Caenorhabditis elegans: one gene and its partner. The protein of the gene in region 2 interacts with the protein of the main gene of each other region in a pairwise test. Each region holds a gene or a part of one and is shown on either strand. Other genes may lie near its edges.

Evidence for each region. The genes of interacting proteins can lie anywhere in the genome.
Region 1: the proteins of abu-15 (region 2) and appg-1 interact in a two-hybrid assay, tested with the Caenorhabditis elegans proteins (one large-scale study listed by BioGRID).

Annotation. Positions count from the first base shown.
Region 1 is NC_003280.10:10,324,493-10,329,336, reverse strand, and holds the start of appg-1 (Activated in Blocked Unfolded protein response), read right to left. Parts: upstream 3,044-4,844; coding exon 2,975-3,043; intron 1-2,974. Other genes in the region: idpp-4 (Intrinsically Disordered Protein, expressed in Pharynx), read right to left, coding at 4,644-4,793.
Region 2 is NC_003283.11:5,156,647-5,160,430, reverse strand, and holds abu-15 (Activated in Blocked Unfolded protein response), read right to left. Parts: upstream 1,830-3,784; 5' UTR 1,809-1,829; coding exon 1,584-1,808; intron 1,537-1,583; coding exon 595-1,536; 3' UTR 524-594; downstream 1-523. Other genes in the region: srx-39 (G-protein coupled receptors family 1 profile domain-containing protein), read left to right, coding at 2,671-2,709, 2,752-2,912, 2,978-3,201, 3,246-3,457, 3,500-3,630, 3,673-3,778.

The DNA of each region.
Region 1 (4,844 bases), on a different chromosome or scaffold from region 2:
TTTTGCATCGTTTCTAATCCGAAAAGGCTGTAATTAAGATTTATGACGGGACACTTTAGGGTTACTGTAGTAGTACGGTATGAATGCTGTAGCAGTACTGTTGCAAAATTTATCTTGAATGCTACTGGTGCTACTGTAACATTGTGGCTGGGTACGGTAGGGGTACGGTAACAGTGTAAACAGTTGTACTACTGTGTAAAAAGACACATTTTCCCAACAAATGCCAATTTAAAGTATGTCAAGTCATAGAAATTCTAACTTAAAGTTGAGTTGGTTGATGATTAATTAACAAATAGAACATCAATTTATACTGTTACCGTGACCCTCCCTGTTGGGTATCAACGTGTATTGACCCACGACGTGGCTAAGAAGATCGTGCAACGTGAACTCTATGAACTAACTTATTTATTCCTTAGTTTAGTAATGTAATAAACTACTCGTCTTCTCTCCTCGTCTCGCCTTCGAATACACAACACTCCCGTACTGTAATCCGTACTGTAATGTAGAGTAATCCAAACGAACAATAGTTTTCAAATAGATAAAAATTTTAGGAACTTCTTGTACAGAGAAATCAAAAAGAGTTGAATTTTGCTTTTCAATTTTGAAGTAATTTCCAAAATGTGAGGTTACCATTTTATTTTTTATCTAGTTCCATTTGCTCAAAGGAGACCGTTAATTTTCCCTCCAACCAAATACGGAAATCGCTGATTTTATTATTACGTAGTGCAACAAAACTCTTGAAAAGGTGACAATTGATAAGTGGGCCCCCTTATCACCTTTCCTTATCCCACACACACACATACACACACACATTTCCTTGGCGATATCATTCTCGAATATCGGATATCCGATTTCCCGGTTGGTCATTCATCTATTGACTCTTTTAAGACGACGCCCCCGGTAATCAAACATTAGGACTTGGTGGGGCGAACTATTGCGTGTGTGTGGGTCTGAGGCGGTTTCGGCAATATACCTGGAGATTTTGTGGATTTTCAGATAAAAAAGTTTACGGGAGGTAAGATACATAATCAAGATTTGGCAGCATGAAAAAATGTTCAGTTCAAATTTTTTCAAAGTTTGGAAATTCTTTAGCCTTCCCGGTGAACTCGGGATTTTGGATCAACTTTCTGCAAACAATTAGGCAATTTCTAAAGATATGATCGAATAAGTTGCTGGAGGTAAGTTCCTGGAAAAGATTCTCATCAGGAAAATGTCAGAAAATTGCAAAAAGCTTGACAGAAAGTTACGCTATTTCGAGGAAGCTGCGGGGTTTTTACTGAATTTTAATTGAGAATGTACCAGAGCCAAGAGACTATGTGTGAACAATAAATATTTGGATCCAATAAAAATTGAAGCATAAGCTATAGTTAAAAAAAACTAATTTTTTATTGATGTCTAGTAATTTTAGTAATCCAAAAATGGAAGGATCTTCCGGTTTTCGAATTACGGTTTCTCGCAACAATATCGGTTTCAAAACAGATGTTTCCTGTTTCCGCTTTTTCCATTTTTGTGCATCCCTTTGTTAATTCACCATCCCATGAAGAAGAAGAAGAAGAAACATTCTAAATTTTCAAATGTTTTCTCCTTCTCACCCAATTTCCATTTCACCAGACATTTTGTGTGTATGACGGGGTCATGATGTTAAAGAATTGGGAGAAAAACCGAATCTTTTTCTCTCTCTGGCGAATGGGTGTTTACTTTCTGTTTTCATTGTGTTCACCTTTGCCTGACAATAGAAACAAACTCTCGCGCAACACAGAGACCTTGGAGCCAGTGGAAATGGACGAGACGCCGACTAAATTGAAATAGAAACCTTCGTTTGACTGTCTTGGAATGAGCAGGCTTTTTGGGAAGAAAACTCGATTTGGAATAAAAAGAAGAGGAATCGGGTCAAAGAATCGGGGCGGAGTTTTGTCAAAATTCTTTAGACTTTGGCCCATGTGAATCAAAATGTTTCGAAATAAAGTTGGGTTAATGCATGATTTAATGGTGAGTTTGTCTAGAGCAATATTTAGTAGCATTTTTACCAGACACTCAATGTAGGCATTAAACTCGACTTGAAAGTGACCTACTACATTCATACCATGCTTTTTGCAGTCGACTACAAAAATACTGTAGGCGCACAGGTAGGCATCAATGTCACAGAGCCGGTATACTAACATGACTCGTTTTTCCAAGATTGTCTCCTTGTAGTTTTGAAATAATGGATTATGGTAAAACTGAACCGTCAAAACCAAATTGGAACCATTCTCAAATTGAATTTTTTTACAAGTTTTTTATTTTTCCTACAATTAGAATAAAATTGCTCCCAAAAGGTCAAAACAATTTTAATTTATTTTTTGATTAATCTGTTAGAGAGAAAGTCTGCAATTGTTAGAATTCACTAGCTGCAAAATTAAAAAAAAATGTTGCGTCATCAAATTCTAGTTTCAAACCCATCAATTGTTCCCACAACATAAAATATTGTAGGGATAGACTAATTGAAGTTTTGTAATCTTCAAAAATGTACTTTCAATAGAATTATTTTTTCGAAAAAATAGAAATCCATAGAAAATGATTTTCAGAAATTGCAGAGAACTAATTTTTTCTAATACTGATAAAAACGGTATTTTCACAAAATTTAAAACTTGCAACAAAGACTCTTAAAGAAACACAATCTAGTTTACAAATTATGTTACAGACATTGAAGGCTTGTTACCTAATGTTCGATACAGTTAATACCAAAGTTCACACCCAAAATAAAGATTTACCAAACCAAAGTAAGCTAATAAGAGATGGTTCGTATAAAATAAGTTATAAAACTCTTTAATTTTGTGAGAAGACAAATATCTGACTAATTAACAGTGGTTGACCGCAAAAGTTTCAAAAGGATTTTAATTAGTCCAGTTTACCGAGCAGGTCAAGTTACGAGCAAACAATTCAAAAGCAAATAAAGTCAAAGTAACTACCAACAAAAAACCAAAAATAAACTCACCGCAGCAGTAGAAAGTGCCAAAAGAAGGCAGAATAAGAATAGTAGCCGAAGAGAATTCGAGCGTCCCATCGGGAAGATTTTATGATTGATTCCTAATTCTCAGATCCAGGAGGGATTGGATTACTGTATATGAATTTAAGTGATGAACAATATGAATAAGAGTACGGATACAAGATTATTAACAGACAGAAATGGTATATAATAAGTCTTCACACACACACACACAAATCCTTCAAAATCTATTTCTCACTCTGCTTCTCTCTTACTGCTTGAAGAGCTCTCCGGAGGGGGCGATAGGAGGGCGGTAAAAGCTTCGCGGAATGCGCGCTCAGAGGCGGAGCATTTCCGCGCGGCAAAAAGGACAGCCTGACGCGTTGGTGCTCCTGCTGGACGAGAGAGCCCCCATGGCTTCCCAAGGCAATTTTTGAATCCTGTTTGTTTGTATTTCGCCATGTACAAATTGTCAATGTATGTTCGTTGTTGGCCGCTTGAATCGACTGGAGAGCTACCCGAACTTTTTGCGGGGAAGGAAATCGGCACTAATTTGGAGAGTTCGGAAAGGACGGAAGGGGGTCATCCTCTTGTCTGTTCCACCGATGTTTGTTTTTTAGAATGGGGGCATGCTTGAGAAGAAAGGACATTGTGTGATTAAGCTGGTGATTAGGATGATTATTGATGAGCATACATTGATGATTGTAGTGGCAGGAAAAAGCAAAGGGGTGAACCAAATTGGGATTGTTTCGATGAAGATAGTGACGGAGGTTTCAATTTGATACAAATTTAAACGGAAATTATAAGTTTTTTCGTTGTCGTTGAACTAGAAATGCTGAGATATTGTGTTCTGTACTAATTTAGAACTTACAGAATATAAGTACTGATTTAAAAATACAGACTAGTAAAGTAGTTTAAATATTCCATTTTGGTTGGAATAGGAGGCCGTTTATAAATGTATCTTTTTGTTTATTTTGCCAGTTTTATTGATTTGCTAAGATTTGAAGGAGTACCGAAAATTGGGACAATGCCCTATTAGACTTGAAGGTATCAAATGGCCTGAAATTCGCAATGAGACGTCTTGAAATTTTCCAATAACTTTTTTATGGCGGTTCACATTATTGAGGGAACATGCATATTTTCAGCTATCATTCCAAGTTTCCCAACTGTCTAGACTCTTCACGGAAAAACGTGCAATTGATTTTGCATTCAATCACCATATTTCAAATGTCTCGGCAACTTTTTTATTCAACTGAAATAAATAAAGATGTTTGAACAAACGGAGTCCTGATAGTGAGCTCAATAGAATTTTAGCTCTAACATATTTGGACCAACTTAATTTCAAGTGATAAATGTAATAATTTTCTTGTATGGGAACTTTCGAAATGATACATGTCAATTTGTATTCTGATTGTATTTTCTTTACACAATTAATTATTGTATCAAAGTACAAAAATATATATTGGGATTTTGGATGTTTTAAATTGGGATGGCCGACTTGGCGTTCATAAAAATAATGGCTTGTTGAATTCAATACGTTTTATTCGCTACATACATTGACTAACTCGTCAAATTGCAAATTACCATAAAATCTTAAATTACTCCCAAAAACATTAGAATACTGATGGTACATAAATAAATACAAAATAATCGAATCAATAAATAAATAATTGATTATTCACTGACGATGAGCAAAATCTTCAGTTCGTTGATTTTTCGTTTCTTTCATGCGACGACGCATTTTCGATTGGCATACTGGGTAACAAGTCGTTTGGCAAGCTGCCATACAGTTCGGATTGTTAGGAAGACATTGGTGCTCACATTGGACCTGAAAAATTAAGGTTGGATCAGGTTTCACAGAACTTTTTTAGGAGGTAAA
Region 2 (3,784 bases):
TTAATGAAAATGGAAAACATTTTTGATATATCGCTATAAAGTTATCACTCGCAAGTATTATCAGAAAAAGTATGTAGCAATTTTAATTGTAAGCTAAAATAAATTTTAACTTCTAAGGTCGTATTACATTTTTCGTAATGAAGGAACAGTGTGGTAGTGAAACACGTAAAGTCGTGAACCTAAACGATTTGAAACTAAATTGAATTTAAAATACTTCATCAGTGAGCTTTTTTTTTTTAATCTCTAGTTTCTAAACTCCTGCTGGCGAGCTAGAAAATTCTTGTAAATCTAACTTTTCTATAAATATTTCTTTGATGAGAGCATTTTTCAATGAGTACAGAAATAGATAGAACATACGTAAACCTGTATCAATGCCAACTGAACAAATGTTTATGAGATTTTCTAAAAATGTAGTCGAAGAAGAGACGCTAACAGTTTTTAAATAAACATGTTGTGTTTCGAAAACAACTGGTTTATTCTGGTTATTTTTATGTCACGTCAGATTTTTAAAGCGAGAAGGTTTAAAAAGTTATGCGTTTATTGAAACTGAATTGTTTCGGTATATACAAAAATCAAGAATCAGGAACAATTAAATTACTTTCTGCGGCAGCATTGTCCATTTCCGCATGGAGAGTAGTTAGCTTGGCAAGAGCAGGAGCTCTGTTGTGGGCTCTGCTGGCAGGCAGTAGTTGCTGGTTGAGCAGCTTGGCATGAGTTAGAGCATGATGATTGGCAGGCAGTTTGGCACTGGGCAGCTGGCTGTTGTTGCTGAACACATTGCTGTTGGCAGGATTGTTCGCATTGTGGGGCACATTGGGATGATTGAGCAACAGAAGTCTGGAGAACAATCTGGATGACTTGAGCTGGAGCTTCAGTGGTGGTGTCGTATGGTTGGTACATTGGCTGAGTCTGCTGGGAAGTGCAGGAGTTGTCGCAGGCTGGTTGGCAAGCTGGAGCGCAGTTAGCGTTCTGGTTGGTGTTGGTATTGTATGGGTTGTACATTTGAGTGTTGGTGTTCTGGTTCATGTTCTGGTTGTAGACTTGTTGGGTAGCCTGAGCAGTTTGTTGGCAGATATCAGAGCATTGAGTGTTGCAAGCTGGCTCGCACTGGTTGGATTGTTGCTGTTGCTGGACACATGAAGATTGGCATTGTTGCTGGCACTGTGGTTGGCATTGAGCTTGAGCTTGTTGGATCTCGAGTTGGATTTGGATCACTTGTGGGGCCTGGGTGGTAGTGGATGGGGAATCACAGGCAACATTGCATTGTTGTTGGCATTGTGGCTGACATTGAGCTGCTGGTTGTTGTTGTTGAACACAGGTAGATTGACATTGCTGTTGGCATACTGGTTGGCACTGTTGGTATTGGACAACTGGAGCTTGGGTGGTGGTAGTAGTGGTTGGTGGGTTGTACATTGGAGTGCATTGAGCCTGGCACTGTTGCTGACATTGTGGCTGGCACTGGGACACTGATGGAGAAGCCTGGCATTGCTGTTGGCAGCTCTGTTGGCAAGCTGGGGCGCATTGAGTAGATTGAACCTAAAATTTTTGATTTAATGGTTTGCGAATATGTTAATGAACTGTACCTGAACTTGTTGAGTTTGTTGTGGCTGAGCGCATGAGCAGGATGGGGATTGTTGTTGAACTGGAGCAGATTGGCACGAGCATGACTGAGTCTGTTGAACTTGTTGGCACGAGCATTGGCTCTGCTGTGGCTGAGCACATCCACACTGTCTCTTTTCACGGATTGCACTTCCAGATACCACAAGGGCACATGCAAGGAACGCAATAGAAAGTGAAGTAAAGCGCATTTTAATAATGATTCGAACCGAGGAAATCGGATGGTAATGAAGCTCTGTTCTTCTCTTTTATATGACTTTTCCAGCTGCTCAGTAAACCGGTTCCAGTTCCTAATTTCCTGATCCTCTTCTAAATGTGACTCTCTCTTGCGGCCGCGCGCAAAAGCGTTCGCCTAAAGCTTCAAGTAAGCTATCGAGTCACTAAAAAACTCCGAGCTAATACAGGAATAAATTGTAGTATTGCGCAAGCAAAGAAGAGAGGTCTTGTTTGAGTTTGCTCTATGACCTTGTTCACGCAAGGTTCGCACATGAGAACTAGTTTTCAAGGGCAAACAGCGATAAGCAATCTATTTTTATAAGATTTATCTTTTAATTTTGTTTAAATTTTTGAACCGTTCTAGCTAATCGAAAATCAAAAGAATCAATGAACCACATAGACACGTAGACATGTAAGAACGACAAATTTCGACTCTAATTTAATTTACATGATTTGTCATGCATGACATAAGTTGGTTTTCAGACCCGAACATTTTTTCGATTTGATTGTATAGAGCTACAGTGGTTGCTGCCTCGCTTCTGGGATTTCCTAGCTTCCGGGATCTCTAGAGTTTGAAATTTTAGTTTTGAACTCACTTTGAAACACATTTCAAAGTTTAAAAAATTAGGTATAAAAACATTTAGTTAATAGCCTAACGGATTTTTTAAAAATAAATTGTATCTATGCGAAATGTGAAAGAAACTATGTTTGTATTGTAGCTGAACGCCACCGGCCCAGGTGACTCGAGCCTGACAAGAAAGTTTCAATTTTTCCAGATATTTCTCTCTCATTCATAACATTAACTTTTTCATTTCCTGTTGGCTGCAAATTACAATCATGATTTCCGTGACAACAATCTCTGCAATTATGCTTTTGGTAAGATTTTATTGTAGCTCAAACAAATTGATGTACCTTCAGTTTTCCCTCTGTGGATTTACAATAAATTGGGCAATTGTGATTATAATGATAAAAGTTACAAAGTTGCAAAAACCATTTGCAATTTTAACTGTTGGTCTAGCGATTGCTGATGGAACATTTTCCGCGCTCTACTTATTCTATGCAACTCCAATGGTATTTTTGTAAGTTGAACAAGTTTTTTTTTTCATTCAGCGAGGCCAACAGTTAAAATAAAAATTCCATTCAGCGAGAGCGATATTTTATCAAATTATTCGAGTGTTTGTGGATATGTTCTTATGATTTGCTACAGTGCTTCAACAACTTTTCATTTCATGATATCCCTTAACAGAATTCTAGCAGTGTATAAACCAATGCTTTATCGTATGATGTTTAGTGTTTTGTTCACGTTTTGTATAGTAATGGGAATTTATTCCTACGCACTTACAATCATAACACTATTTTTTCAAATTTGTAGGTTAGTTTAATGTCAACTAAAATTGACGGGAGAGTTGCAGTGGGATGTCAAAATTTTTATGACCAAGAAACAAGAGCATTTCGTTATTCTGGAGGAGACGTTTGTCGTTTTTATGCAACTTATTTAGACTTTTATCTTGTTTTTTCATTGACTATTTCCAGTACTATTTTGGACTTTTTAGCTATCGGAAAAGTGTTAAAAATTAGCTCAAAAACAGAAAAGCACTCAAAAGAACTTAGCTTGTTGAAACAGGTAATATTGATCTTTATAGATTGTTTTAAATAATAATTTCAGTCCATAAGCCAAACTCTATTTGTTCTTGCAATCGTTTGTAGTTTTACTTGGGGTCCGCGTTTTATTCCAGACATTGATTACACCTTTATTTTCTCTTCTATTCTCTGGTCTTCAGTGCATATGTTTGATGGGTAATTGTAAATATTCTAAATACTCAAAAAGTTCTAATTTAGGTTTTTCACATTGATTTTCAATCCAGAAATCCGAAGGAGCTGTTCCAGAAGCGGCCAGCCACTGGCATTCAACGTTGTTAGATCGAAATCGGCTGCATTGGATTAAGAATAG